Elephas maximus indicus: one gene and its partners. The protein of the gene in region 1 purifies or fractionates together with the protein of each later gene. This does not show direct contact. Links are inferred from orthologs where the notes say so. Each region holds a gene or a part of one and is shown in the gene's direction. Other genes may lie near its edges.

Region 1 (7,881 bases):
TTTATGTCTTGTAAGATAAAAGGTGGTGCATGCAACACCCCAGGGAAACTCCCTTTACATTACACCAGGGATGTGCCCTGAGCAAGGGTGTTACAATACCACCCTAATCTTCTTTAACATAAAATTATAATCACAAAATGGAGGACAAGCAGAAAATACTGGGAATCATGGCCCAGCCAAATTGATACATGTTTCGGGGGGAACATAATTCAATCCATGACATATAGGGAAGAGGTATACGCATAGACCTCTCTGAATGGGCTAAGGAAGTAAAAATATTTGTGTCTCATGTGAATGCTTACCAAAGGGTGACCTTAGCAGAGGAGGATTTTAACAATCAAGTGGATAGAACGACACATTCCATGGAAACCACTCATTTTCTTTCCCCAGCTACTCCTGTCATTGCTCAATGTGGTCATAAACAAAGTGGCCATGGTGGCAGGGATGGAGGTTATGCGTGGGCCTGGCAACATGGACTTCCACTCACCAAGGCCGACTTGGCTACAGCCAATGCTGAGTGCCCAATCTGCCAGCAGCAGAGACCAACACTGTGTCCTTGATATGGCACCATCCCTTGAGGTGATCAGCCAGCAACCTGGTGGCTAGTTGATTACATTGGACCACTTCCATCATGGAAAGGACAGCATTTTGTTCTTACTGGAATAGACACTTACTCTGGGTATCAATTTGTCTTCCGTGCATGTGATGCTTCTGTCAAAACTACCATCTGTGGACTTACAGAATGCCTTATCCACTGTCTTGGTATCCCACACAGCATTGCTTTGGATCAAGGAACTCACTTCACAGCAAATGAAGGGTGGCAATGGGCCCATGCTCATGGAATTCACTGGTCTTACCATGTTCCCCATCATTCTGAAGTGGCTGGCTTGATAGAACAATGGAATGGCCTAAAGACACAATACGGTGCCAGCTGGGTGGCAATACCTTGCAGGGTTGGGTCATCGTTCTCCAGGAGGCTGTATATGCCCTAAACCAGCATCTGATATATGTTGCTGTATTTCACATAGCCAGGATTCATGGGCCCAGGAACCAAGGGGTAGAAATGGGAGTGGCACCACTGGCTATTACTCCTAATGACTCATTCACGAGATTTTTGCTTCCTGTCCCTGCAACCCTATCCTCTGCAGGTCTAGAGGTCTAGGGGTCTTAGTTCCCTAGGGAGGAATGCTCCCACCTGAAGACACATCATTGAATCCATTGAACTGGAAACTAAAAATACCACTTGGTCACTTTGGGTTCCTTATGCCTCTGGATCAACAGGCAAAGAAGGGGTTATTGATCCTGATTACAAGAAGAAGTCAGATTAATATTACAGAACGGAGGTAAAGAAGAGTATGTCTGGAATGCAGAAGACCCTTTAGGTCGTCTCTTAGTACTACCATGCCCTGTGATTAAAGTCAACGGAAAAGTACAGTAACCCAATTCCAACATGACTACTAATGGCCCCGACCCTTCAGGTATGAAGGTTTGAGTCACCCCACCAGGCAAAGAATCACGACCCAGCTGAGGTGCTTGCAGAGGGCAAAGGGAATACTGGATGGATGAAGGAAGAATGTAGTTCTAAATATCAGTTAAGGCCACATGACCAGTTGCAGAAACAAGGACTGTAATTGTTATGAGTATTTCTGCTTTGTAAGTGTGCATCAAATATTTTTGTTTTCTTCACTTATAAAATATAAGATGTAAACAGGGCTATCACATTTTTGGTTGTATATGTGTCTTCTGTATCATGTTAGGCCCAAGTATGACCTTATAATTGTCTTTATTCAGAGATTACATACGGTTTAAGGAGATGTGTACAGGTGCCGAGTTGACAGGGGTGGACTGTGATGGTTAAGATTGTGTGTCAACTTGGATGTGGCACGATTCTCAGTGTTTTGGCAGTCATATAATGTTGAGATCACTTCCCTGTTGATAACTGATACATCATCACCCCCATGATGGGAAATGCTGTGAGTAGCCAATCAGTTGAAGGGGAGTTTCCCTGGGTGTGTGGCCTGTATTGAGTGTGGGTGGACATTCGGGCAGGACTCAGGGGCTTTTGCTCGTTCTGGATCCTGCAGCTAGCTTCTGTTCATCTGACCTCCAGTTCGTGGGACTTGAGCTAGCAGTTTACCTGCAGACTTGCCTACCGATCTTGGGATTCATGGATCTGTACAGCCTGTGAGTAACAACTCTGCTCCCTGGCTGCTGATCTTGGGTTTACCAGCTCCTGCAGCTATGTGAATCAAGAGAAACCTCTTTCCTGACCCAGGGACTTGGACTTAGGACGTTACAGCCTCTACAACCACAAGCCATTTCCTTGATATAAATTTCTGACCCTGTCTATATATATGCTTTACTGGTTTTGCTTCTCTAGAGTACACAGGCTAAGATAACCATCTTCATTATCATCAGGTAGAATTATTAATAATTAATTGCTCAGATGCCCATACTAATGTACAGGGCAACTTGTTCTTTGTTATTTAAAATTTTTTTTCATGTTTATTTTATATTCTCTTTTAATTTGTTAGGGATACACCATAAGTCTTTAACTGAGCTAGAACTATTTACATTTCTTCTAATTTGAATATCTACATAATAAAAAATGTTTTTATGTGATTGTTTAACATTACTTCCTACACTTATGTGCATCGTCATAAGACTGCATTTGTTTTAGTGTTTGTCTAATTTTCCATCAAATTTCAGATTTTTTAGTTACTGAAGTACATGAGTGAACAAAACAGACAAAAATCTTCACCCTTGGGAAGGTTACAGTCTAGTGGAGATTATTTCATAACTGTCTAATGATTTCCACGTTGTTTCAACTTGAGAAACGAAGTTTTAATCCTCCTGGAATCCAGATTTCTGGGCTCCACGGAGGTAGGGTGACCTAGCCAGGCCATTGCCCCGAGACGTTCTTTTGAACCTTGAGGAAACTGGTTTCTTAAAGTCACCTTTAAGCCAAACAAGTCTAGTAAACAGCTTAGTAAAGATTGTTTTGCCTTGGACATTGTGCTCTTTTGAGGAATTATTCATATGCAGTCAGTTTCAAGAAACAGAAACTCTGAAGGTCACCCTAGAGTTATGTTTTAGGGTATATCAGTAATTACTTCAATTATTCAAGACAATGCTGTATTAATTCCTTCCTGACCATAATTTTTCTTTTTTAATCGGTTTTGTTATAGCCCATTTTCCATGGCAATGTCGATAAGATGGGGTATAAGAATCTTGGAGGTTCTCTCCTCTCAGGAACATTTTTGACTCCCTAGTTCAAATGTTACTGCAATTTGTGAATTGTATATTAAATAAACTTCAATCAGTTTCTATTATTGACTTAATACAAATTTTGTTCTAACAGACTTTAGGTGCCCTTTTTGAAATAAAAATCCCCAGCTGATAGAACCAGCTGTCCTCCTTCATCCCTGTGTCCAAGTCATAGCCAGCATTTAAGAAATAACATTTGTGAACCATTTATTTTGTACCTGGAAATGTGCTAATGGTTTTATATTTAGCTCATTTAACCCTCACGGTAATTCCAGAAGAGTTACTATTGTGAACCCTTTTACAAATAAGGAAAGTGAGGTTCCAGGAGCTTAGGTAAGGGGAGGATGGGGGAATAGATTTCCCAATCTTAGCTCATAATAACCATCTCATATTTCAGTAGTTGATACTTAACACACATTTGTTGAATGGATGCATAAACAAATATATTTTTGTTTGTGAATTCCTATTCGGCTTAGCATAAACACTACCTACCTGAATTACTCAAAAAAAAAAAATCTAGGTATTTTCGTGGGGCAGGGAGAAGGTGGAAAGGGTAGTAATAAATTTTTTTTGAATGAGTTTAGCAGATATCTCATGAGTTTTGGTTATAACTCAAATGTGGTTGTCTTAGTCATCTAGTGCTGCTATAACAGAAATACCACAACTGGATGGCTTTAACGAAGAGAAATTTATTTCCTTACAGTAAAGTAGACTAAAAGTCCAAATTCAGGGTGTCAGCTCCAGGGATGACTTTCTCTCTCTGTTTCTCTGGAGGAAGGTCCTTGTCCTCAATCTTCCCATAGTCGAGGAGCTTCTCAGGTGCAGGGACCCTGGGTCCAAAGGACAAGGTCTGCTCCTGGTGCTGCTTTCTTGGGGGGTACGTCCCCAATTCTCTGCTTGCTTCCCTTTTCTATCTCAAGAGATTGCCTCAAGACACAATCTAATCCCTAAAACAACTGCCACCCATCCTCCCTTATTAACATCACAGAGGCAGGATTTATAACATATAGGAAAATCACACAATACCAGGAATCATGGCCCAGCCCAACTGATACACACATTTTTGGGGAGATATAATTCAATCCATGACAGTGGTTATCATAACTGGGGAGATGACCAGAGAGACATCAATTCACTTAACCTGGGCTGCCTCTGACATTCAAGCTCATCAGTAGATTGCTGGAGGAGAGTTTCCTCAGAGTCCTAGGAATCAAAAGCGACTTTATTTATTTATTTATTTGGTATGTTAAACCCGGGGCCACCAGACCCAGAAATGGGAGACCATAGCACCTGCCCCATAAGCGGCATGAGAGGCTATGCCTGGAAAATTATACAGGACTTCGGGAGCTGGAAGGCACCGGACTGAGGTTTTAACTCAAGGTCATCGTGGGGGTAATGAGTGACGACCCTGCCGTTGTCCCCTTACTCAGTGGTCGGGTTTAACTTTGCACGATCCCGACAAAACCCGTCCCTTTCCTTACTCCCCTTTCCCGCCCCTTCTCCCCGCCCACCACGTAGGCGCAGGCGCAGAGAGATTCCCAGCAGTCGCCGCGAGGCATCGATCGACTCTGTGCTCGACTTCTCGACTAGCCGGCGCCCTATTGCGGCGCGTGGTAGCGTTGCTTCCGGTGCCTGGCTGTGTTTCCGACTTCCGGTTCAAAGCGGAGGAGGCCTGCGGTAGGTCGGAGCGCTTACTCTCTGGCTGTTTTGGTTTTTATGGGCCGTTTGTCCGCCTCTCCGCTGTCGGAGCCCGGAGAGGACGAGGCGCGGTGGTGCGCCGGGCACATCGGGCCCGGGGTTGGTCAGCGGTGGGCTGAGTGACGCGCTGGCCCGGCGGGCCTCGGATCTTAGGGGCGCTGTCCCTAGCGGGACCGGATGGGAGCGCGGATTCCGCGCCTGTGGGCTTCGGGCCGGGGCCTTGGGGGTGCGTGCCTGTGTCGGGAGTGCAGTCTGGAGGGACGCCAGACTCCTGCTTAACAAACAAGTAACCGATGCTAAGTCCCAGCCTCCCCTCCCCGCCCCTTGTGGAGCCCTGCCGGCGCGATGGTTAACGGTTCGGCTGCGGGAACCCACTAGCAGCTTCATGGGAAAAAAAGACCTGGAGATCGTGCTCCCATAAAGGCTGTTGTCGTGTGGCGCGGAGCCGATTCTGCCTCGTAATGACACTATAGGACAGGGTAGAATTGCCTCCTAGGCTTTCCAAGGCTGTAAAGGTTTAGGAAGCCGACTGCCGCCATCTTTATCCCTTGGAATGGCTGGTGGGTACTAACCCCCGACCTTTCGGTTGGCAGCCGAGCGCTTAACCGCTGCGCCGCTAGGGCACCTCCAGGTAAAGATGACAGCGTAGGAAACCCTATGGGGCAGTCCAGCGCTGTCCTGTATGGTCGCTGTGAGTCGGAATCAACTCCAAGGCACACAGAAACAGTGCTCCTTTGCTCCTGTGAGGTGTTTACAATTCCCTGTGAGCTTTCAAGTGACTTTTAGCGGTTCCCTTTTGGATTGGGGAGGTGATTCTGGGAACCTCTGTGCTGGTTCAGGCGTCCATCACACCACGCAGGAGATGTTGCAAGAGCCCCCCATTTGATCTCCCCGCCGTCAGTTAGACCTCTGTTTCTGTCACTTCCCTCTTCTTTGCGACCCCATCCCTTCTCCAGATCGCAGGTAAAGCAAGTTTGAGTAGCATTACCGTTTACCCGCACAAGTTCTGTCCCTGTCAGCAGCCCCGTCCTTTGTCAGTGATCTGTGCTGTTCACATACAGTGGGTGCTCCATAGATGTTTGTGAAAGAGGCAGTATGTGAGATTACCCAAGGAGATAAAGCAAGTTCACGATTGGCCACTAAAAAGCTACACACACCGTGAAACAGTGTGGTGGTGTCCGAGAAGTGCAAGAGAAGATACAGGGCTGAATTCCCAGGCCTGCTGCCACGTGTCCTTAGGCAAAGACCTTGACCTGTAAGAAACCAGTTGCCCTCCAGTAGATTCTGACTCAAGACAACCCTATGTGTGTCAGGGTAGAACTGCGCTCCCTTGGGTTTTCAGCGACAAATTTTCCGGAAGTCAGTCTCCAGGCCTTTCTTCCAAGGTGCTTCTGAGTGGACTCCGATCTTTTGGCTAGCCGCCAAGCTGTTAGCTATCTGAACCACCCAGGGACCGTCACCTGCGATAGCGATGAAGAGTCGCTGGTTCAGGGGCTTACTGCTGTTGGACGTTCTCGCGTTTAGCCTGCGGAGTTCTCTTGGGTAGGTGCTGTTACAGTTGTTGCTGTGGAGTTGGCTTTGACTCCTGGCGACCTTCATCCCCATTTTATAGATGTGGACCCTGAGGCTTGAGAAATTAAGGAACTTGACTCCCCCGTCAGTCAGCAGCTCGTGAAGAGCATGGCCACTGTTTGGATTTAGGTCTGGCCAGTGCCAGCATCTGAGTGCCTTTTCACCTTGCGGTCCTGTACCGCTCTGTCTGAGCTGCATTCCTTCACACTGGCTGGGGACGACCGTGGGGTCAGGACGTGTGGCGGTGGTGTGTATCAGTGAATAGGTGTCCCAGTGCTTTTTAAGTGTTCTCATGAAGCAGTGCTTGGCAAACTTCACTAATGTTCTATCTTCATGATTTTTAGTGGACGTACCTTTGCTAGTATCTTTTTCATTTTTCTTAAGATCTACTCAATTTTTCAGTAATTTCATTAATAAAAAGCTGTTTCACTAGGTAAATGGAAAAACAGTATCACTTACTATAAGTAAAAGGTAAATATAAAAGTAAGTGCATTGAACAAAATAATGCTATTAAATTCTGACTAAGTGCTAGTATTTGACCAAGGTTTTGAGCCTGAGAACTCTTCTTTTGTTTAAAAAGGAGAACTAGCAAGTGTTGGACAGGTGTTAAAGACTGCTGCCAAACTGACATTTTCTTGGAGTCAGGATTGAAAGAGAATTGAGAGGTTAATAAGCCTTGTGTTGTATCCTTATGCCACACTGGGCTGTGATTTCATTCTCCCAGTTTATAACACAATATGTACTTTCTCTTTAGGCTGTTTGAACAATTTAATCTAAAACATGGATATCAGACCAAATCATACAATTTATATCAACAATATGAATGACAAAATTAAAAAAGAGGGTAAGTGCTTTAAATATATACACATATTAGTTCACAACTAAAGTGTGTTTACCCAGTACTATCTTAAAAAAATTGAACTGCCCCAAAACTTCTCCTCCAGGCATTTCTCAGTGCCTGCAATAATGGTTTGCTCGTTTTTGTGTAACGATTTAAAGTTTTTTAAATAAAATGAAAATATGTAGGGACTAAAAGTGTGTGGTGGAAACCCTGGTGGTGTAGTGGTTAAGTGCTACAGCTGCTAACCGAAAGGTTGGCGGTTCGAATCCACCAGGTGCTCCTTGGAAACTCTGTGGGGCAGTTCTACTCTGTCCTATAGGGTCGCTATAAGTCGGAATCAACTCGACGGCAATAGGTTTGGTTTGGTTTTTTTTTTTTTTTTGGACAGTGTGCAGAGTCTGTTTTCACTCATACTGGTATTGTGGTTTCCAGTAACTTTTTAAATTACATGACCAACAAATAGCATGCTGTGTTTTTACTGAAATATGTAACTGTGTATGTGT
Region 2 (7,668 bases), on another chromosome or scaffold:
GGCAGCTTTGGCCTGGGCACCTACCCACACCAAGAACCAGCACCTCACCCTATTGTACCACCAGTACTGTCAGGTTCTCAAACCATGTTAGCAACGGCTTGATGTTGAAGCTGAAAATCATGGTTAGCAGATAGAACACCTGTAAAGCACTTGACAGAAGCCATGTGCACACCTTCACAACGCAGGCCCAGCAGTAGTTCCAGGTTCTAAAAATCAGCTGAGCTTCTCTGAGAGCCCAAGTACAGAAGAAGGTGCCATTCTGTCAACTCATTTATTCCTCCCCAAGCCTGCTGAGGCCAGCCACGAGTTCACATGAGGGAGCCTAAAGAGACTTCGCTCCTGCCTTTAGGGAGCTCAATGTAACTAGGAAGACAAGATATAGACACGGGAATTTCACAGGAAACAATTAGACAACCATAGAGTTACCAAGTGTGGTGCTGTTTCCAACAACAACAGAAGCTCAAGATGGGAAAGTCGACGTAGGCAAGGATAGTCAGAGAAGGCTTCCCAAAACAGCAGGACTTGAGGGGTAGAGTTGTGATGGATAGAAGGTATGCCGAACATCAGGGGTGACCCAAGACAGAGCGTCAAGGTGAGATGGGCTGCTCTGCTCAGGGGTGAGGGCTGACTACTGTCACTTGTGAGAGATGAGTCTGGTGCCAGACTGTGGTGGCTTTGAATGCCAGGCTGTCTGGACTTGATGAAGAAGCCAGTGGTGAACCACCTTACATTCTGAGCAGGAAGTGACATAACGAAAGCCCCATATTAGGAGGAGCCTGGTGGCTGGCTGTGCTCCTTGTGGTGGTAAGGAGATAAATGGGTGCGTGAAAGCAGCTAGAGGAGGTCACAGGAAGAATGAATGGTGGTTATTCACTCTTGTTGACGTATACAGCAGAGATGTGCATTTTGGCGTTATTTCATAGGTAAAACAGAGATTATGGATATAGCATCTAATAACTGTTTTAAAAGGTTGTTTTCCACTTTGAATAGAGGCAATACAACAAAAAAGAACTGCCTATATAGACAAAAAGGAAGTTAAGAGGGTTTAAGAGATTCGGCATTTGGTGGTCCTGGGGCCAGGTCATCATGGTAGAGTGTGCCTGTGTGGGGAATGTGTGAATGTGTAGCAGTTGCAAAATAAAGAGAATTATTCCTGTACTTACTGTCATAGGAAATGTTCAGGCCAGACAGTTTGTGCTAATCCATGTGGGGTCAAGTGGTGTGGGCACAGCTGCCATCCAACTCACCCAGATGGCTGGAGCTATTCTTCTGGTCATGGCTGGCTCACAGCACAAGCTTCGAATGGCAGAAAAGCTTGGAGCAGCTGCTGGATTCGATTACAAAGAAGAGGACTTTTGTGAAGCAACACTGAAATTCACCAAAGGTAAACAACTGCTTCTGCAGCTCAGCAGGAATGTCAGAGATGATTAAATAAATCCTCACCAGCTTCAAGGTTGCCAGGACTCTGCTAAATGCACAACAGCTGGCCTGGTCAAACTCTAGTACTCTGGGGTTTGACCACTGGGGACAGGCAGTTGGTATTTAGGACTGAGATCATTTCCATATGCATTCCTGCAAATGATATAATTCATACACGTTTTAGAAGCTGGATAATTATCAAGAGTTGACTTGGAATTTTCCAAAACCTCTTCTTCCCAACCAGCCACTCCATAGTGAGTTAATACCAGGCTTGAGGCACTGTTTGGATCTGGAGCTAGTAGGGTTGGGGTAATAGGGTTGTGCATGCGTCTGCATTACAAAGCCAAACATGTATGTTTTTGGCTCATCCCTTTCAGTTTTTCATATGAGTAGAAAATCCAGTGCAGATACTTTGTAACTTAGATATGAACAACTAACCTGCCCTGTAGCCTGGGTAGACCTCCCCTGTTCTGTTCTCACTTATACCTGGGTGCCAGTGCACACTGTACTTAAGTGGTGGTAACAGGAGACACCAAGTCATGGTTTCAGCTCGTTTCCTTCTTGCTGCTCTCTTATGACTAGGGGATCATAAAAGATGAACTATTCACACATGCCATAATAGAGTTCAGCTACTTAAACTACATTTATAACAATGTTTCCATGAGCAATGTTGCTAGTTCCAACCTATAAATTTACCACTTGCACCTGTACTTAATTTATACCCATATATCCACAAACTTTCAAATCCACCAGGCGCTCCTTGGAAACTCTATGGGGCAGTTCTACTCCGTCCTATATGGTCGCTATGAATCGGAATCAACTCAAAGGCAGTGGTGGGTTGGATCCACAAATTTAGGGTGGCTGTGAGTTGGAACCAACTCCATGGCACCTAAGAACCCATAAATATACCATGGAGTCTTATTTTACACCAAGTTTTCTGGGTCTGACTGGCATTACAAATCTGTTTCATGTGAAACGTGCTGGAGCCAACCTTATTCTAGACTGTGTAGGCGGATCTCACTGGGAGAAGAATGTCAACTGCCTGGCTGTTGATGGTTCTCCATGGTCTGATGCGAGTAGCTAACATCAATGGGCCTCTGTTATCCAAGCTACTTTTTAAAGGAGGAAGCCTAATCACCAGTCTGCTAAAATATAGACAAATAGGTACGTGATGTGTGAAAGAAAACACATGGTTTCATTTACATAAAAGTGTGAGAAAGGAAGCTTTGTCACATCTTAGGTTAGGGAGTTTATGTAGAAACCTGCCCCCCTGGGTATATATGTACCCTGATTTCAGAGAACCAATTAGGGTTGGTCAACAGAAACCTCAACATCTGGGAAAAAGGGTGGCTAATGCTTCATACATAAACTTTCTAACAAAATGAACAAAGTATTTAGCATATTAGGAAGTACTTCTAATAGTTCCAAGATTTTGTTTCCAAAGGCACTCTCCTCAGTGTACTAAGAAAGTAATACATGTTACAGAAGTCTGTGTGGCATTCTAGCAGGCACCAACTTCGGGAAAGTTTCCCAATATGGGTTCCACAACCGTTGGAGGAAAGGAGCTCAAACATCCCTTTTGCACAGAGCCTATATAAGTCCTATCTGTGGCTGCCTCTCGCTTGAAGCTTTTATTTAGAAACAGCCCTCTGGCCATTATTGACCCCAAAACCAAAACCAAACCCGGTGCCATCAAGTCGATTCCGACTCATAATGATCCTATAGGAAAGAGTATAACTGCCCTATAGAGTTTCCAAGGACTGCTGACCCTTATGGTTAGCAGCCGTAGCACTTAACGGCTATGCCACCGGGGTTTCGGGTCAATGGCCATTATTGACAGTAGTATTTCACTCGGAGCTTCAGTCCTTATCTGGTACAGAACAGAGGTTACGCATTTGGGGGCCGGCGCACACACGCTAGGAAGTGAAGAGGGTACCCCTGTGTGCTTTTTCAGGTGTGTACCCGTTTCAGAGAGATCAAAAAGTATGGGAAGCGGCAGGGTAAGGTCTCAGTCCAGGCTGACGGATTCCTTTTCCATATCTTAGTATAAGCAAATGCTGGTGAAGGCTTCCACGGAACGAGCTCTGCCTCACTTCTCCACGAAGGACCCCCAACGTCTATTGCCACTTCTGGATAGAGTCTACCTGTTGATGGAAATCCAAGAGGCCCATGTGTACACGGAGACTGACAAGAACATGGGCAAAATCGTCATGAAGCTGCCCCAGTGAAGGCACAGGGTACAGGACACTCCACCCTAGGCCTTCTCAGAGTAAACTTGGAGAAAATTCACAGGCAAGAGTTCGGGTGCTATTCCCAGACCCACCCTAAAACACTGCCCCTTCTCGACCTTTTCAACTGACCCATGTTAAGCTGGCGTTAAGAAACAAAGAGGGTGGAGTTGAAGTGTGGTGTGCTCACTGGCGACCCCAGCTCGCAAACTAGCGCTGACTGGCCGGGTGAGGTGGGAGCTGGGATGACTGACAGGGGGATTACAGGAAGAGGCCACAGAGGTGTGGTGGGGGGGGGGGGAGACGCAGAGAGGGCACTTGCCCCCAGACGCAAGTCCAAGAGGGCATCAGACAAGGCACCCCTGGGCGCTACAAACATGAAGGAGCCTGAGACAGCCGGACAAAGGACCGGGAAAAGCGTTTCCGCTGACGCATCGTCGCTATCTGTTCATCTTGAAATTGGGGGGGGGGGGGCGCAATTCAGAGATTGCCCCTGGGGGCTGGAATTGGCGGGGCAGGGGCGGGGGGCAGGGGCAATTCAGAGACTGCCCCTGGGCGCTCGTTACCCTCACTAAAGCTCTGAGAGGCCAGTCCCGCCGAGGCTCAACTTGGGGAAGGCACTACGGAGGGCTGGAGGTCCGGAACTAGGTTACACAGTCAGCCTCGACACTACCCGCCAGAACCTGTGAACTCCGTCTCGCGCACTGCCAGAAGCCCAGGCTCATCCACGAGTTCTCCTGCACCTGGCTACCCACGTCCCGCAGCCCGGAGCTTCTCGCCAAACTCGGTCCCCTTTCCTCGACCCAACCAGTCTCCGCATCACCCCTCACCGCCATCCCCGTGCCCCGCCACCTCCGGTCAGCTCGCACTGCTTAGGTCCCCCCCCCGACCGGAACACCTTCCCTTCTTGAGCTGAGGCCCCGCCCTTTCCGGCCCAGGACCCGGAAGCATCTTCGACTGTCTTCTTTCACCTTCCGGCCTCACATTTATCTCAGGCTCGCTTTGCTCCCGGAGTCTTCTCGGAAGAGGACCGGTAGTACGTCAGCACGTCTCGACGTGAAACGGCGATTTTCTAGCGTTGTTTCAGCAGCTTCCGGTGGAGGCTGGTTGTTGATGGCCTGCGTTTGACACTGTTGCGCTCGAAGTAGAGCGAGCTCCAGAGGTGTCCGGAGGATTCCAGTCTTAACTACGGTGACTTCATCAGCCTGCCAAGATGGCGATGCAAGCGGCCAAGAGGGCGAACGTGAGTAGCGGGGCCTTCTGCGGAGGAGGGGCGGACTTCGCTGTTTGACTTTCTTAGAGGCGTGCACAGAGCATGCTTACTCCTGTGTCCCCTGGGCGGGGAAACCCAAATTTTCCTGTCCTATCCGTGGGGATTCCACGCTGTCCCGGTCCTCAGGGGTATGCTCATTGAGCCACAATTCCGCCCACACCCCTTTTGAAAGTTCCTAAAGTATCTTAGTGTTAGTGACAGTGCTAGCCCTACAGAATTTGTTGCTTGACCTGTATTTAGGGCCTGGCATCAGAATCTCCTCCTCAGCCTAAAAATTGATAGCATAGACGAGTCCCCAATAAATAATGGTCCACAGGCGACTAAAACTTAAGATTCTCTTCAGATCATAGGGTTTTTTGGGTCCTTCATTAACTTATTGATTCAACAGTATTTATTGAGCACTTGCTGTGTGCCAGGGAGGGAACAATTCCTTAGTTACATTTATTGCACCTCCTACGTGCCAGCTACTAATCTAGGTAATCACTTTTATTCAGCAGTGAATAAAACAAAAAATCCTTGTCCTATAGGTGCTTACATTCTAGCATTAGAGAGTGAGATGTTATGGAAACTTAAAGAAAAATGTCTCAAGAAGGAGATAGTGGTGCTGAGACGCATAATATGATGACAGGTAATTGAACCCTGGATAGGGCTATTAACCGAAAACCAAGCCCGTTGCCATCGAGTCAATCCCAATTCATAGCAACCCAATAGGATTCCAAAGGGTGCCTGGTGGATTTGAAATGCTGACCTTTTGGATAGCAGCCAAGTTCTTTAACTACTGCTCCACCAGGGCTCTGGATATGGCTATGGTGAGATGGAAAATTTTGGTGACACTGATGAGTTGTTTCAGTGTAATGGTGGATGAAAACTTGGTTGTAGTGGGATGAAAAGATGATGGAAGTTGAGGAAATCTCTTTTCATGAGTTTTCATGTAAACAAGGAGTAGGAAATTGAGTTTAGTGATTAAAAAAAAAAAGTTGAGCAATATAAAGTGTATTGTGTGATCATTCCAATGGGAATGATCTGGTAAAGTGGAAGAAGCCGATAATGTACAAAAAGATGTGTTGATTTCAGGAGTCGTGTAGATGTACTCATCTGCTTTTGAGTAGATGAAGGGTTGGCATAGTAACAACCCAAAAAACCAAACTAATTGCCTTCGTGTTGATTTTGATTCAGGGTGACCCTATGCATTTCAGAGTAGAACTGCCCCCTGTAGCGTTTTCACTGGCTTTGATCCTTTGGAAGTAGGTGGCCAGGCCTTTCTTCCAAGTATAGAGAGAGGGAACATAGGTGGATATGGATGAATGTAGATTGGTAGGTTTAGTGATAGGACTATAAGGTACTTACCACTTGGTCATATCCATTTTGTCCAAGAAGTAAGAGCCAGGGTCATCTCCTTGGACGGGCAGGGAAAAGGATACAGCCCAACAAAGGTGTTGGAGTGGTGATAATAAGGTTGAAGACAGAAGATATTTTTGATATAGTGTCTTACAAACTAAGAAAGCAAATTTACCAGAGAAATATATTTCGGTTGTCTGGCAGCATTGATTGTCTATTTGAACTTAACCTTGAATTATGGTCTCTAAAACTTTATTGTACTTGTTCACCAGTTGTCATTACTATTTATAACTGTCTTTTAATATAAAAATAACTGAATAGCTATTGAGTAAATTAATGTTCAGTATCTAATTTATGTTAATCAGGAGCATAAGAGTGAGATCTAGACTGGAGTTACGTATTCCAGGGTCATCAACTTACTGTGGAAACCACGGGTGTGGTTAAGAGGCCAGTCAGAGAGAATGTAAAGAGTTAAGGGGCGTATACAAAGGATCAAGAAAAGAACTCTAAAGATACAGCCCTGTGCAAGAGCATATTTTAATGGTAAAGAAGGCTGAGAAGACCTAGCTAGAGTGTTAGGAGAAAACCAAGAAAATGGATTGTTGCAAGAAGGAACTAATCAACGGTGTTAGAAGTCTCAGGCTAAGTATGATGAGGATTGAGCAATGCGGTTAAAAGCCCGCAGGGAGCCCCTTGTATATATTTTCACTATGTATTCCCAATACCTAACCTGGTGTATAAGAAGGTGCTTAGTAAATATTGTTGGTTGAAGGAAGAGGGATCTAGATAAATTGTTTGTTTTGTGAAAAGATGGGCAGGATGTGAGCAACTGCTTATTGGGAGGACAAGAAGAAGCTAGTGGTGAGGGAAAGGTTGTAAATTCATAAGAGAAGACATCAGTGATACAAGCCCCTGAGAAGACCATAGAACACACATCAGTGGGGATTTTATTGTCTAGCAAACAGGAACAGCTCCTTTCTTTCTTTCCCACATGTAGTCGGAGGTGTTAAGGACTTTTAGATGTGGTTGAAAGTCCGTATTTAACTATAGTGATCAAAAGTCTTGTTTTATCGCAGGCCCGTATTAGTTCCTACTAATGGTCTTCTCTGGAACCATCATCCAGTTGCTTTTCTGAAGAGCATGTCATTTACATCAGATAATAATTCTTACTCTTGGCTTTTCACTATTATGTATTAGAATTTTTTCTAAATGGTAGCACTCCTGCCTGATTATAACGACAACATATATTTCTCATTTTAGATTCGACTTCCGCCTGAAGTAAATCGGATTTTGTATATAAGAAATTTGCCATACAAAATCACAGCTGAAGAAATGTATGATATATTTGGAAAATATGGACCTATTCGTCAAATCAGAGTGTGAGTCTTACTGATATTTTTAAAATGTGAC
Region 3 (7,530 bases), on another chromosome or scaffold:
ATCTTAGATGGCTGCTCACAAGCTTTTAAGACCCCAGGCACTACTCACCAAAACAGGAGGTAGAACATAACTTTATGAACTGTATTATGCCAATTGACCAAGATGTCCCACAAGACTACAGTCCTAATCATTCAAACCCAGATATCCAATCTTACAAAGTGTCTGGTTATATCTAAGGAGTATCTCCTGACTTTAAACCAATCAGTATCCCCTTGTTCTGTCCAAACAACTGCCTCTTGGTCGATGTAAAGGTTCCTCGTGAGCACAATTAAGTCTTCTGGAATTCCCATTCTTCGCAGTGTTATCCATAGTTTGTTATGATCCACACAGTCAATTGCCTTTGCATAATCAATAAAACACAGGTAAACATCCTTCTGGTATTTTCTGCTTTCAGCCAGGATCCATCTGACATCAGCGATGATATCCCTGGTTACACGTCCTCTTCTGAAACCAGCCTGAATTTCTGGCAGTTCCCTGTGGATATACTGTGGCAGCCGTTTTTGAATGATCTTCTGCAGAATTTTGATTGTGTGTGATATTAATGATATTGTTCTATAATTTCCACATTCAGTTGGATCACCTTTCTCGGGAAGAGGCATAAATATGGATCTCTTCCAATCAGTTGGCCAGGAAGCTGTCTTCCGTATTTCTTGGCATAGACCAGTGAGCACCTCCAGCACTGCATCTGTTTGTTGAAACATCTCAATTGATATTCCATCAATTCCTGGAGCCTTGTTTTTCGCCAATGCCTTCAGAGCAGCTTGGACTTCTTCCTTCAGTACCATCGGTTCCTGATCATATGCCACCTCTTGAAATGGTTGAATATCAACTAATTCTTTTTGGTATAATGACTCTGTGTATTCCTTCCATCTTCTTTTGATGCTTCCTGCATTGTTTAATATTTTCCTCATGGAATCCTCCACTATTGCAACTCGAGGCTTGATTTTTTTCTTCATTTCTTTCAGCTTGAGAAACGCTGAGCGTGTTCTTCCCTTTTGGTTTTCCATCTCCAGCTCTTTGCACATGTCATTATAATACTTTATTTTGTCTTCTTGAGAGGACCTTTGAAATCTTCTGTTCAGTTCTTTTACTTCATCAATTCTTCCTTTTGCTTTAGCTGCTTGACGCGCAAGAGCAAGTTTCAGAGTCTCCTTTGACAAGGGGATACTGATTGGTTCGAAGTCAGGAAAGGTGTGCGTCAGGGTTGTATTCTTTCACCATACCTATTTAATCTGTATGCTGAACAAATAATACGAGAAGCTGGACTATATGAAGAAAAATGGGGCATCAGGATTGGAGGAAGACTCATTAACAACCTGCGTTATGCAGATGACACTACCTTGCTTGCTGAAAGTGAAGAGGACTTGAAGCGCTTACTAATGAAGATCAAAGACCCCAGCCTTCAGTATGGATTACACCTCAACATAAAGAAAACAAAAATCCTCACAACTGGACCAATAAGCAACATCATGATAAATGGAGAAAAGATTGAAATTGTCAAGGACTTCATTTTACTTGGATCCACAATCAACACCCATGGAAGCAGCAGTCAAGAAATCAAAAGACGCATTGCATTGGGCAAATCTGCTGCAAAGGACCTCTTGAAAGTGTTGAAGAGCAAAGATGTCACCCTGAAGACTAAGGTGCGCCTGACTGAAGCCATGGTATTTTCAATGGCATCATATGCATGTGAAAGCTGGACAATGAGTAAGGAAGACCGAAGAAGAGTTGACGCCTTTGAATTGTGGTGTTGGCAAGGAATGTTGAATATACTGGACTGCCAAAAGAACAAACAATTCTGTCTTAGAAGAAGTACAACCAGAATGCTCCTTAAAAGCAAGGATGGCGAGACTGCATCTTACATACTTTGGACATGTTGTCAGGAGGGATCAGTCCCTGGAGAAGGACATCATGCTTGGCAGAGTACAGGGTCATCAGAAAAGAGGAAGACCCTCAACGAGGTGGATTGACACAGTGGCTGCAACGATGGGCTCAAGCATAACAATGATTGTGAGCATGGCGCAGCACCAGGCAGTGTTTTGTTCTGTTGTGCATAGGGTCGCTATGAGTCGGAACTGACTTGACAGAACCTAACAACAATAACAACAAGAAGTATCTGGAAACCCTGGTGGCGTAGGAAGCCCTGGTGGCGTACTGGTAAAGAGTTATGGCTGCTAACTAAAAGGTCAGCAGTTCAAATCTACCAGAGGCTCCTTGGAAACTCTATGAAGCGGTTCTACTCTGTCTTATAGGGTTGCTTTGAGTCGGAATTGACTCGACGGCAGCGGTATTGGATTTTTTAATAAGAAGTATGTGTAACTGTGCTACCTATGTGTTTTATTATATATATGAATATATGTACGTATCGTCACATAGCCGGATATAGATATACATATGCATACACCTATTATCTCAGTTATCTAGTGCTGCTATAATAGAAATATCACAAGTAGATAGCTTTAACAAAGAGAAATTTATTCTCTCATAGCCTAGCAGGCTAGAAGTCCAAATTCAGGGCACCAGCTCCAGGGGAAGGCTTTTTCTCTCTGTTGACTCTGGAGGAAGGTCCTTGTCACCAATCTTCCCTGGTAGAGGAGCTTCTCAGTGCAGGGACAGCAAGTCCAAAGGACGCGCTATTCTCCTGGCTCTTGTTTCTTGGTAGTATGAGGTCCCCATGTCTCTCTGCTCCATTTTCTCTTTTATATCTCAAAAGAGATTGGTTTAAGACACAAAACAAACTTGTAGTTTGAGTCTTGCCTCATTAAGATAACTGCTGATAATCCCATCTCATTAACATCATACGGATAGGATTTACAACACAGAGGAAAATCACATCAAATGACAAAATGGTGGACAATCATACAATACTGGGAATCATGGCATAGCCAAGTTGACAGAATTTTGGGCGGGACACAAAGCCATGGCACCTACATATGCACACATGTATGCGTACCTATACACATGTATGTCGACATACATGTACACCCCTACATGTATTTTTTGGTTGCTTTTGCTGTTGTTTCAAAACTCCATACCTGTTACTGTTACCCTTTGCCATGGAGTCGATTCCGACTCATAGCGACCCTATAGGACAGAGTAGAACTGTCCCATAGAGTTTCCAAGGAGCGCAGGGTGGATTTGAACTGCCAACCTTTTGGTTAGCAGCCATAGCACTTAACCACTATGCCACCAGGGTTTCCAAAACTACATAGGGTTACCAACAGGTCCTTTTTTCTTTTGTACTTTTTAGTGACATCATTTTCCTTTGTCAAACTGTGTACAATTCACCTTCATTTGGTGTTACCTTTCCCGTCACCCAAAATAACAAGTGTCTACTATCTAAAGAGTGAATTCCCCGCTTCCCCAACCCTCCAGCCCTGGTAACCGCTAATGAACACTAATCTCTGTATATTTATTTGTTCATGTCATTTCATAGAAGTGAGAACATACAATTATCTGTTTTTTTGTGGTTGACTTTTTTTGCTCAACATAATGTATTCCATGTTCATCCATGTTCCAAGATGTTGTGGGAACTAATTTTTTTTTTTTTTATCACTGAGTAGTATTCAACTGTATATATGTAGCACGTCTTACTTATCCTTTCATCTGTTGACAGGGACTTAGATTGTTTCCATCTTTTTGCTATTGTGAATAGCACTGTGATGAACATAGGTATGTATATGCTTGTGCCACTTCTATTAGATTCCTAGGGTATATACCTAGGAGTGGAATTGCTGGATTATATGAAAGCTCTACCTCTAGATTTTTTTAGGAACCACCACATTGTTTTCCACGAGGGTTGTCCCATTTTGCATTCCCACTAGCATTGGATGAGGTTCCAATTTCTCCACATCCCCTCCAATGCTTGTTATTTTCCTTTTTCAAAAACAATCTTGGCATCCTAATGGGAGTAGAATGGTATCTCTATCAGTTTGAAATATTCTTGGCCTCCAATTTCAGTTGTAAAAACGATCGTATTTACACAAAGTCCCACTTTCACTTCCCCTCCTAACTTTTGTTAGTTACATTATTTTTAAGTTGTGAAGGTTTATAACATTTACATTCATTGCTGTAACCCTATTCTCCATATCTGTTGTTTTCTTAACCTTACAGTTCAATCATTTCAACGCTTACTACCATTTCCTCTGCTGCAGTTTCCCCATTCATCTCGCCCAGGGATTTATTTTCAGCTTTTTGTATATAAATGAATGGGTTTCAATGAATTAAAATGAAGAGCCAGGAGGAATTCTCTCTCCCTCTCCCTTATTAGAAGACATTTGGTTCCCATTGAGATCTTTGCAACCTTGGACCATTTCTACTTCTTACCGTCCGGGGTCACTGTCACCCTCTCCAAAAAAAAAAAAAAAAGTTATGAAATTTCAAAGGTTGCGCCAAGGCGACACCTTTTGGTGGAAGAAAAAGACGCCGACGGAGGGGAGTCTGCAGTGCAGACCTCCTACCGTCAGGGGGCACTGCTGCGAGGAGCCAGCAGCGTAGGCGTCCCCTCTCTTCCGGCAGTACACGTTCTCTGACCCCCGCGCCGCGGAACCTCCTGCGGATTTGGCGTAGGGGTTGGCGCCAGCTGTGGGCTCCGGTCGTCGGTAGGTTTACGCAGAGTGCGTCCAAATCTCCCTTTTCCGCGGCGCTTCCGGGCTCGGTACGGAGCTTGCGCGTCTCGGACTGCGGCTCCGCGCTGCCGCCGCTCCGGCCCATGGGGAAAGTCGGCCGGGTGGGCCGGGTAAGTAACCCCCTTCGCCGCCACGCCGGCGGCCTGGCGCGGAAGCTGGGGCGGGAGCGCCTTCCCGAGACAGAGCTGGACGTGAGGCCGCAGCTTAGGCCGCGCCGCGGTGGGAGCGGAAGGTTTTGACCCGGGCCAGTCTAGAGCTGCCGACGGTCTCATACTCCAACGCTTTCGGGTTCCTCTCTCCCTGCACTTTCTCTCGCATCTTTTGCGTTGGTCTCCCCTTGCCTCTGGCTCCCATGCCCAGGTGCTGCCCCCGGCCTTCTCTGTCCGCCGCATTTCTCATCGCCTTCCTCCGCCCCGCTCTTGACTCTGCAACTCCTCGCAGCACCTCTGCCACTTTTCCTTTATTTTCTTCTAGTGACCCAGTGCCTCTCATTTCTCCTCTTTTCCCATCCTTCCCTTTCTTGTCTGTCTGTTTCAATCTCTTTTGGACTAAAGAACGTTCCTCTCTTTCGTTGACCATGTTTAGAAAAAGTTTATCGGTCCCTAGTTTTTTTAGCCACTAGCTTCTAGCAGCCAGGACAATATGTCACCTGTGGCCCAGCTCACTTGCATCGCTCCAGGGCTCAGGGAATTAAATGGAAAGAAGGCATTTCCATCCCTGGTCTCAGAACAGGGAATTCCAAGTGTTGGCATCTTTCAAAGATGGGAGCTTACCTGGGCAGATGGAGGAAGTCATGATTCCGGTGTTACCTTACTCCTTGTCATTGTAAAGGAGTGTTTTAGTTGTGATGTTTAATCACCGAACAACGTGTTGTGAACTGTCCAGACAACAACGTGTTGTGAACTGTGGATGCAGCATGAGTAAGATTTTGCCACTACTCAAGCGTTTGGTCTCTAGGGAAACCGGCATGGTTGTGCTTGGGTTGATATGAGGGACTAAGGTGTGGTTTGGAAAGGCTTTAAAGAGGAGGCGATGCTTATGCTGAGTTTTAGAGAATAAATAATATTTTGTTAGATATACAAAGTATAGGAAGAGTTTCCTGCAGAGAAAATAAGTGAAAAAGTAGCAGAGGTGAAGCACCATAATGTATTCTGGGAACTGCAGGTAAGGCTCAAGAGAAACATTTGAGGAGAGTAATTGGAAGGGTAATTAGGTCAGATCATAGAGGTTCTTTGAGGAGAAAGTAAGGGAAAGCATTGAAGGCACTAATTGGAAAAACTAGGCATATGGGTGGATATTCTAGGTAAGTGCAAGATTCTGCACATACTCAAGTAGATGGGTGGATGAGGACTTCTGTGACTTCCTACAACAGGTGGAGATTTTAAAGGATGCATCTCAGTTTCTACATTTTTACTGGATAAAGGCAGCAGGCATTTTGGGTAATAATAAGGGTTTTTAGGGAATAGAGGACAATTAATAACTTAAATTGAGCGTGTTTTATTTTTAGAGTTTAGAAAGAGTAGGTTGTGTGATAGATAATGTAACAAGGTACAAGTATTAGCAGTGAAGAGCTCGTCTGACTGTGGAGTTCAGTGGTTACTAAAGATAGCTTTTATGGAAAAATAAAGAATTTTGAGAGAATTGTTACGCACTCCTAGATGTGATTTTATTAACTGTGTTTCTTTTTAGCTGGTTGTTTTAAATTACTTTCTTAGTTTTTGCCGAATGTGAATTCTTCAGACCTCCCCTGGCAGGGAACAGATGATTCAGGTCTAGTAATCCCTCAAGCCTTTCATAGTAGTTAATTGTGAAGGATGTTCTGTTTTATACCTAAATTCAAGTGAAGTTTGTTTGTAACACACTCCAGTGTATGGCATTGTGGAAGTAGAGTCTTTGAGAATGAATGTAAATATTAAACTGTGACAAGGGTGTCCCTGCACTGCACCCTAGCTCCTAGACCAGGGGAAGATTTATAACAAGGACCTTCCACCAGAGCTGATAGAGAAGAGAAAGCCTTTCCCTGGAGCTGACACCCTGAATTTGGACTCCCAGCCTACTAGACTGAGAATAAAATTTTCTTTGCTAAAGCCATCTACTTGTGGTATTTCTGTTATAGCGGCTCTTGATGACCAAGACTGAATTTGATACCAAGAGTGGGGTGCTGCTTTAACAGATACCTAAAATGTGGAAGCAATTTTAAAACTGAGTGGATAGAGGACTCAGAAGGAAATGAGGAAAGCTGTTACATTGGGGTTGGCACAGACAGCAAAGGACTGGCAGCAGCAGAACCAGAAAACCAGCACCACATGGTGCTGGACCTGACCCACAGAGCGAGAGAACTGAGTGTGTTTGCACAGGAGGCTTCCTGGTGGAGTGAGGTGCCTCTGAGCACTTATTGGTGGAGCTAGGCTTGCTGACCCACTGAGCAAGAGAGCTGAGTGCCTTCCAGTGGAAGTTTACTGGTGGGGTGGGTTGCCTCCAGGTGCTTATCGGTGGAGCTTCAGAGCTCTGGAACACCTGCTCCAGCAGGGCATATGCGGGTGGTGAGGCCCAAAGGGCCAAGAGGACAAGGAAGCAGAAGCTGAAGAAACAAGGAACACTAAAAGCAGAGCTGCCTCAGTCTCAAAGGGCATGGCCATGACCTCTGGGGTCTCTAACGGTGGAGCCATGGCCTTTGGAGTTTGAGTTTGGAGTTTGAGGGGGTGGAGTTGCCACTCAAATGGACTAGGAAAACTAAAGCCGACAGAGTGGAGTTGCCATTCCAGTAAGCCTGGAAAGCAGAGCTGAAGCCCAGGGCTGAGGGGCTTCCACTCAGAATCCTTTGAGTGTGGCCAATACCTAGAGTCTGGAGGGCAGGGCCATTGTGTAAATGGTCGCACAGAACAGAGGATTATTTTCAAGC
Region 4 (7,020 bases), on another chromosome or scaffold:
GTAAACCTTCAACCCAGAGAGCACCATTCTCAGGTTATGAGCATGAATGGTGCCCTGGTCAACAGGCTGTCTTAATGTCAAAGGGAAGGAGTATAGTACATTTGCTAGGATCTTGAGCTTTGGAACCAGAAAGGTGCAGATTCGAATCACATCTGCTAGCAACTAGTGATAAGGCCCTAGGCAAGATAACAAGCATATACCACTTGCTAGGAACCATGCAGGATTCTAATTAATCTGTAACAACAATATGATTAAAAAAAAACAGTTGCTGTTGAGTCAATTTTGACTCATGGTGACCCTGTATCTGTCAGAGTGTGCTCCATAGGGCCTTCAAGGGCCGATTTTTCAGGAGTAGATTGTCAGGCCCTTCTTCCAAGGAGCCTCTCAGTAAATTTCAACCTCCAACCTTTCAGTTAGCAACCAAGTACATTTACCGTCTACACCACCCAGGGATGCCATAATATGATCATTGAGAATTAAATAAGATAGATGTACTATTATTATCCATATCTTACAGGCAAGGAAACAGTCACAAAGAGGTAAAGGAATATGCCAAGGTCATAGCTAGTGAACATTACAGCCAGGGTTCTAATCCAGGCAGCCTGATGCCAGTCCATGCTCTTCACTATCATTACACTATGCTTCCTCTCTAATCCGCAATTTCTTCATCTGTAAAACAAAGCTAACAGGTCTGCCTTATCTCGCAAGGTCATGTGAGATTAATGGCAAACAGTAAGCTAAATGTTAGCTACTCTGAGTGGTAGTAGTTAGTCATCATTCTATTATCTACATTCACCTTTGGTCTAGCCAAGGGCAGAAAAATAATATTTTGGCTGAGAAACATCTCCGAGACCCTCTGCTGTAGGGTATATTAGAATATAGTGGAAGCTCCATGAGAACAGGCATTGTCTGCTTGGCTCACCACTGAATCTGCAGCAAGCAGTGGGAGCTCAATAAATGTGTGGTGAATGAAGAAGGAATGAATTGAATGCATGGACAGGGTTCTGCCAAGACATGGTAACTTAGGTAGAAAGCATCACCTCTCAAGTGTAGCTCAACACAAAAGAGGTAAATTCACAAGGTTCTCAGAGAATGATGTTAGCTAGCTATTACTTAAGACAGCCTGGCTACAGGAGGCAGGGTGGTACAATGCAAAGTGGAATAACACAGATGCAAATTCTGCTCATTCATTTTAGCTGAATGGACAAGGCGACCTGGATTTTAATCCTGGTTCTGCCATAGAGTAACTGGACTATTACTGGAAGTCACTCAGGTTTCTCAAGGTCTTGGATTCTATGACGATCGTAAACAAATACATTCTACTTGCTCATCACTTTATAGACAATCTGAAAAGAAGATTATCAGGTACTCAGTAAATGTTTCTTCAGTGAAGGTCATCCTCAAATGACAGATGATAAAACTGGGATTCAGGAAGTAACTTGTTCAAGGTCACAGGGCCAGGGTAGAACATGAACTTTCTACACAAGGTTAACATTCATGTTTTCCAAGATTGCTTTCAGTTCTAAAACATTGTTAATATACCTCTGCAGTGCAATTAATTACTTTTGGGTGTTGCCTTTCTAGCCATGGTCTTATAACTCCTACCCAGGTGACTGGGTAGGACTGTGTGATAGGGTAATTGTGGCCCACCAAGAGGACTGGTCAGTTTTGCCTTAAAAGAGACCCAACTCCAGAGCAGGGAGGAGGATCTTAACACCTTCAAGGAAGGACAGCCAGGAGTGGAGAGCAGGTCCTTTGGCCGGGATCCCTGCACTGAGAAGCTCCTGGAAGCAGGAGAGCGAGCTGTAACCCTGAAGATGGTGAGAAGCAGTGGCAGCAGAGATGTGGCAGCAGGAGACAGCATGTGGGCCACTGAGAGAGAAAGCTGAGTGCCTTTGGGGAGAGGCCGAGGGTCAAGAAGAGGTGAGCCTGCAACCACAGCTGGGGAGAAGCTGTCCTATGGGAAAAACTGTATCCTGAGTGTTCTGGAGCCTGAATTGTAACTGTTACTTCCCTAACCAGCTGCCAGGGAGTTGATTCCAACTCCTGATAAACTCCTTAGTCCTGAGTATGGTCTGTGAGTTCTGTGTGGCCACTGCAATGAATTATAGAACCCAGGAAAGAAGTAGAGAGCGCTGTGCGAAGGATGACTGGTGTCCGAATTGTTAAAGATGATAGAGCAGGCTTGTCTGGCCTCCACCTCTAGCCTTGCACTGTTGATCTTGGTTCTCCTTCCCCCTTGTGGGGCTGGAGGTCAGACGCCATCCTCATGCCATTTTTAAAAACTCTTTTCCATGCTCAATAAATTTGTAATCATTTATCTTATCAAGTAATCTTGCCTGACTGCAATACATCATGGTAAAACAGGAGTTGTACAACTATTTTCACATCATCAACCTAGAGAATCAAAAGACCTTAAGAGATAATGAAGTGCATATCCCTTGCTTTTGCCCAAACTGTGAGAAGTATTTTATAATACTTAAACCACAGTCTAAACTTAACCAATGTGATGAAAAATAACTTCTAGTACCGCAACGCTTCCTGAAAGTACAGCACACAACTTTCCAATTCTATAATCAAAGTTGCGCCACTTGATTCAAAAGTATTCACAAAGTTAAACATAAAAGGTTGCAGAGAATGTCTACGAGTGCTTTCTTCCTTTATTTTTATTAACAAAATACTCCCCTGACATTGAACCTTTGAGTATAACACCTTCCTAAAGATTGTCAGGGGCCCTAGTGGCACAGCGGTTAAGCATTTGGCTACTAACCAAAAGGTCCGTAGCTGGAATCCACCAACAGCTCCTTGGAAACCCTATGGGACAGTTCTACTCTGTCCTACAGGGTCGCTATGAGTCAGAATCGACTTGAGGTAACTGGGCTTTTTTTTTTTTTTTAAGGATTGTCAAGTTAGGTAGGGGTAAAAAAACATTTGGCAGTCACAGTTACAGTCAACTTTCTAGACGGTTCACAAAGGGAGAGTCAAGGTCAAACTGTTGAGCCTCATTACCCTCCCATATGTTACTGTAAAAGGAACTAATTGTGAGCACAAAATACTCCATTCTATTATTCTTCAAAATACAAATGTTAAGTCCAGCATCACGCCTTTTCTCAGTCTGTGAGGGCTGGCTGACGTGGAATTAGACCAGAGGGGTAGGAGGGCAGATGTCAGGACACAGCACTACAGTGACAGTGACACTCTTGAAACTTTTGCCTACTTCCTAGCACTTTCGCCACCTATCAAAATGAGAATAATCATCTCGCTAGACATGACTCAAATGATATGATGAGGAATTAAGTCTTGAAATCACGGGCAAACGTGAGATACTGCTATTGTCACTATTATTTACTACGTCGGGCAAGAAAGATCCCCCGCGCACTCTTGGCTGTGAGTTCCGCAGGGTCCTCAAAGGACGGAATAGTGTACTGGGCGAACTGGCTAGGAAGTCTCTGAGACTGAGATAGGAAGTGAGCCCTTCAGGCACTGGGCCTAACGGGCTCTACAACGACCGCACCCCCCCCCCCAGTCACCTTGTCCTCACCTTGAGGAACGGAAAGAAACCCTACGAGAACTGGCAGTGCGGTCCTCAGGAAGGAGAAAGAGGAGCCTGCACTCTCCATTCGGCCGCCGCTGCTTGTGCTTATACTTTACCGGGGGCGGGGAAAGGGCTGCGGCAGCTAACAGAGCCTGGGACGCCTTGACCTCGGGCGTCAGAGAGGCGGGCACAGACACTGGGCCCACGGCCGGGACACTACACGAAAAGTCTGCCCGAGGTCGGGCCCGCCTCGCCCACGGCCGCAAGCACAGCAGGAGGCACCCCGCCCCCGTGAACCCTGAGGGCCCTGAGCTCGCTCACCTGCAGCCGGGTCACTAGTAGGCTGTAAGGCGCCATTTTGTGCACTGACAAAGATGAGGTCGCGTGAAAGTGACGTGCCAGACGACAACTTTAAAGACTTAGGCAGGGGGCGTGGCCTGACGAGAACACAGCGCGGTGGGGCGGGGCCTCCCTAAAGGCGCCCGAGCCCAGCGAACGTAGACGGCAGAGCCGCAGTGTTAGGAACGGGCACGTGAGAAGAGAAAACGCTCGTAAAAACAGTTACGGTAATTAAATGCCTGTACAAAGATGTTTTATCGAAAAACAAATTTCGGCTATATCTTCCATCAAAATCTGGGAAAGGTATTCATTTTAGGACTTTCGCGCTCCTGCCAGGACTTACTTCCGCAGCAACCACAGAAGCTCTTCTTGGAACGTAGTGGCTTTGATCTCGCGAGGGGGAGCGCGGCTTAGTGCCTGATGGAAGTCTCCAGGACCAGTCATAACGACCAGGAGGCAGGAACAATGCGGGTCAAAGGTCGGGCGGAAGTTCCGGAAGCTTCCGGTGGCAAGTTTGAGTGGGAGCTATGGCTAAACACCACCCGGACTTGATTTTTTGCCGCAAGCAGGCTGGAGTTGGTGAGGCGGCGGCCTGCCCCCGGCTGTCTGGGTGGTGGTGGTGTTAGGCGCTGGGAGGTTGGGAGTTCTCATCACTTCTCTAGGGCTTTGTCTCGGAGCCGCCACGTTTCCCACCTCACGGTCGCGGGGTAGTGTAGGAGCGCGCGGGAGGGAAAGAGCGGGGCGCGCGGGCTGTGAGCCAGAGGTGGGCAGCAAGGGTGGGGTCCCTGGGACAGGGTTCCGAGAACGGCTGTCGCAGGTTGCCCCTGATCCCAAGAAGGGATCGTGACTGTAGGTTTGGTTCGGATGGAGGTCTACGAGGATAAGATGACTGTCCGTTAGAGTTCACTGTAGTCCCTGTCATTGTCCCCACTCCAGCCCTCTTCGTCAGAACCCTAATTCTAATGGTGCTCTATATCTTCTTTGCTCTTGCAGCCATCGGAAGACTGTGTGAAAAATGTGAGTGGAACGCGTCTTCCCAGCCCCCCCACCCCTCCCACTCAGTGGAGTCAGGGAAAGGGTATTTCCAGCGGTGCCACAAAGAGGACTTTGAGTAGATGGGACTGGAAGCATGTGGACACGGGATCCCAGGCAGCAACCATAGACCCTTTCCACCTCCCCACTCTGACTGGCACATTTTAAACAGTGCATTTAGGTTTTGCAGAAATCTCTAGCTTGAGATACGAAGAATCGCCAGAGTAGCATGACCCCCAACCTAACATACACAGGTCTTTTTGCTGCAGTTATGTAGAGCTATCATCTACCAAAAGTTGGTAGTTCGAATCCACCAGCTGCTCCTTGGAAACACTATGAGTCAGGATTCTGAGAAGCACTATCTCAGGTTGCCCCAGACCTGAGAGGGGCTTCAGGAAGGGATTGTGACTGTTCTGTCCTATAAGGTCACCACGAGTGGTAATCAACTTGGCAGTAGTGGGTTTGGTCTTTTTGGTTTATCTACAAGGGGCTGTGCTATGCTCTTTATGTATGTTAATGTTTTGTAAGTGTTAAGGGGATTGAGATGGATACTGGGTAATGGCAAAGTAGAGGAAGGGCCCTAAACTCACTGTCCAAAAGAAACTAGTACACCACCCATAGCTGAAGGAGGGCAAAGCACTTGGGAGAGGAAGTACTTGCAGGTGAGCATAACTCCATTCACTTTTCTTCACAGGCGATGGCAAGTGTGTGATCTGTGACTCCTATGTGCGTCCCTGTACCCTGGTGCGCATATGTGATGAGTGTAATTATGGCTCTTACCAAGGGCGCTGTGTGATCTGTGGAGGCCCCGGAGTCTCCGATGCCTATTACTGTAAGGAATGCACCATCCAGGAGAAGGATGTGAGTGTTCACAAAGCTTTCTACCTGACCCTTCCTTTTATTTAGTAACGCTTTGCCATCCACAGCAAATTTTTATGGTCTGCAGAGATGACTATGTTCAGCTAATCACCTAAGTTATCATTTTTTCAAGCTCTGTGAGCCAAACTGGGTGTAGCTCAATAAAAGGCAAGAGAAGTGCAGAGAAGCAACTCTTTGTCAACACCTGCAATTTGGAGAGCCCTGTCTCTATTCCTTTGATGTCTCCCTGTGGTGGTTGTTACCCAGAAACAACATCCTGCATTTGTAAGTCCTAACACAGGCCATATTGTATAAAAGCCACTCAGCATATCTCTTGCTTCTGCTATCCTTAAGGGCTGTTTGGGTGGATATGGTGACAAAGTTGAGTTTGGGACAACTTGAGCTGGTTTCAGCTTTAAGCAGCTAAAGAATGCCTTTGGTTTAATGTTGCAGCATTGATTGTGGTTCTGCCTCATGATATTTTTGTTCCCTGGCATTGTGTAGTCGCAGTGGCTAGTTACTAATGTTCAACTCCCTGAGCCAAATGGCAGGAGAGAGGGCTTATAGATCAGCACCAAAGACAAATTTTACCGTTTTTCTTTAGATTAGTACTGGCAGCAGGCCCCCTGGGTTGTGGGGGAACCCGTGAGTCAGTTAACTTGTTTTCTCAGAACACTTTTTTAATTTATATTTTCCACATCTATTCCGTGTTTGTTCTGCATCATCCATGCACATCGTCTATTCCACGTCTGTTAAAGGTAAATTCCACCACTATTCTACATCTATTCTGCATATGTTCCACATCATCTGTTCTTAGGACACTTTAAAAGGAAGTATGTTACAGTCCCATTGGACTAATAGAGGGGACCTGCTTACCTAGTAGGAACCCTTGTGGCACAGTGGTTAAGTGCTTGGCTGCTAACCAGAAGGTTGGCGGTTGGAATCCACCAGCCACTCCATGGGAGAAAGATAAGACAGTCTGCTTCTGTAAAGATTTACAGCCTTGGAAACCCTATGGGGCAGGTCTGCTCTGTCCTGTGGGGTCACTATGGGTCAGAATTGACTCGACAGCAATGAGATGTTTTTTTGGTTTGGTTACCTAGTGTAGGATAAGACAAAAGGTAAATATTCTTCATGTTTTGGTAAACTTACAGTGGGTACTTTATTAATGTTATTGCCCTTATTCCACACACTATGTCAAATGGGTGTCATTATTATCATTCCCATTTTACAGTCCCCCACCCAGCTAATAAGTG

What was found.
Region 2: the proteins of SNRPB2 (region 1) and SF3B6 purify together in Homo sapiens (affinity purification with mass spectrometry; 4 studies listed by BioGRID and IntAct, with this or other methods). This does not show direct contact. The link is inferred for Elephas maximus indicus from reciprocal best matches to the Homo sapiens genes SNRPB2 and SF3B6.
Region 3: the proteins of SNRPB2 (region 1) and RBM17 purify together in Homo sapiens (affinity purification with mass spectrometry; 3 studies listed by BioGRID and IntAct, with this or other methods). This does not show direct contact. The link is inferred for Elephas maximus indicus from reciprocal best matches to the Homo sapiens genes SNRPB2 and RBM17.
Region 4: the proteins of SNRPB2 (region 1) and PHF5A purify together in Homo sapiens (affinity purification with mass spectrometry; 4 studies listed by BioGRID and IntAct, with this or other methods). This does not show direct contact. The link is inferred for Elephas maximus indicus from reciprocal best matches to the Homo sapiens genes SNRPB2 and PHF5A.

The regions. Positions count from the first base shown.
Region 1 is NC_064843.1:57,035,828-57,043,708, forward strand, and holds the start of SNRPB2 (U2 small nuclear ribonucleoprotein B''), read left to right. Parts: upstream 1-4,864; 5' UTR 4,865-4,944; intron 4,945-6,391; exon of another isoform or gene 6,392-6,507; intron 6,508-7,291; 5' UTR 7,292-7,317; coding exon 7,318-7,381; intron 7,382-7,881. UniProt on the Homo sapiens protein: Involved in pre-mRNA splicing as component of the spliceosome. Associated with sn-RNP U2, where it contributes to the binding of stem loop IV of U2 snRNA.
Region 2 is NC_064830.1:41,616,446-41,624,113, reverse strand, and holds the start of SF3B6 (splicing factor 3B subunit 6), read left to right. Parts: upstream 1-4,652; 5' UTR 4,653-4,860; coding exon 4,861-4,890; intron 4,891-7,518; coding exon 7,519-7,637; intron 7,638-7,668.
Region 3 is NC_064822.1:52,636,055-52,643,584, reverse strand, and holds the start of RBM17 (splicing factor 45), read left to right. Parts: upstream 1-4,513; 5' UTR 4,514-4,601; exon of another isoform or gene 4,602-4,738; intron 4,739-7,530. UniProt on the Homo sapiens protein: Splice factor that binds to the single-stranded 3'AG at the exon/intron border and promotes its utilization in the second catalytic step. Involved in the regulation of alternative splicing and the utilization of cryptic splice sites.
Region 4 is NC_064822.1:185,615,938-185,622,957, reverse strand, and holds the start of PHF5A (PHD finger-like domain-containing protein 5A), read left to right. Parts: upstream 1-4,018; 5' UTR 4,019-4,101; exon of another isoform or gene 4,102-4,210; 5' UTR 4,211-4,294; coding exon 4,295-4,352; intron 4,353-4,358; exon of another isoform or gene 4,359-4,401; coding exon of another isoform or gene 4,402-4,453; intron 4,454-4,810; coding exon 4,811-4,891; intron 4,892-5,600; coding exon 5,601-5,767; intron 5,768-7,020.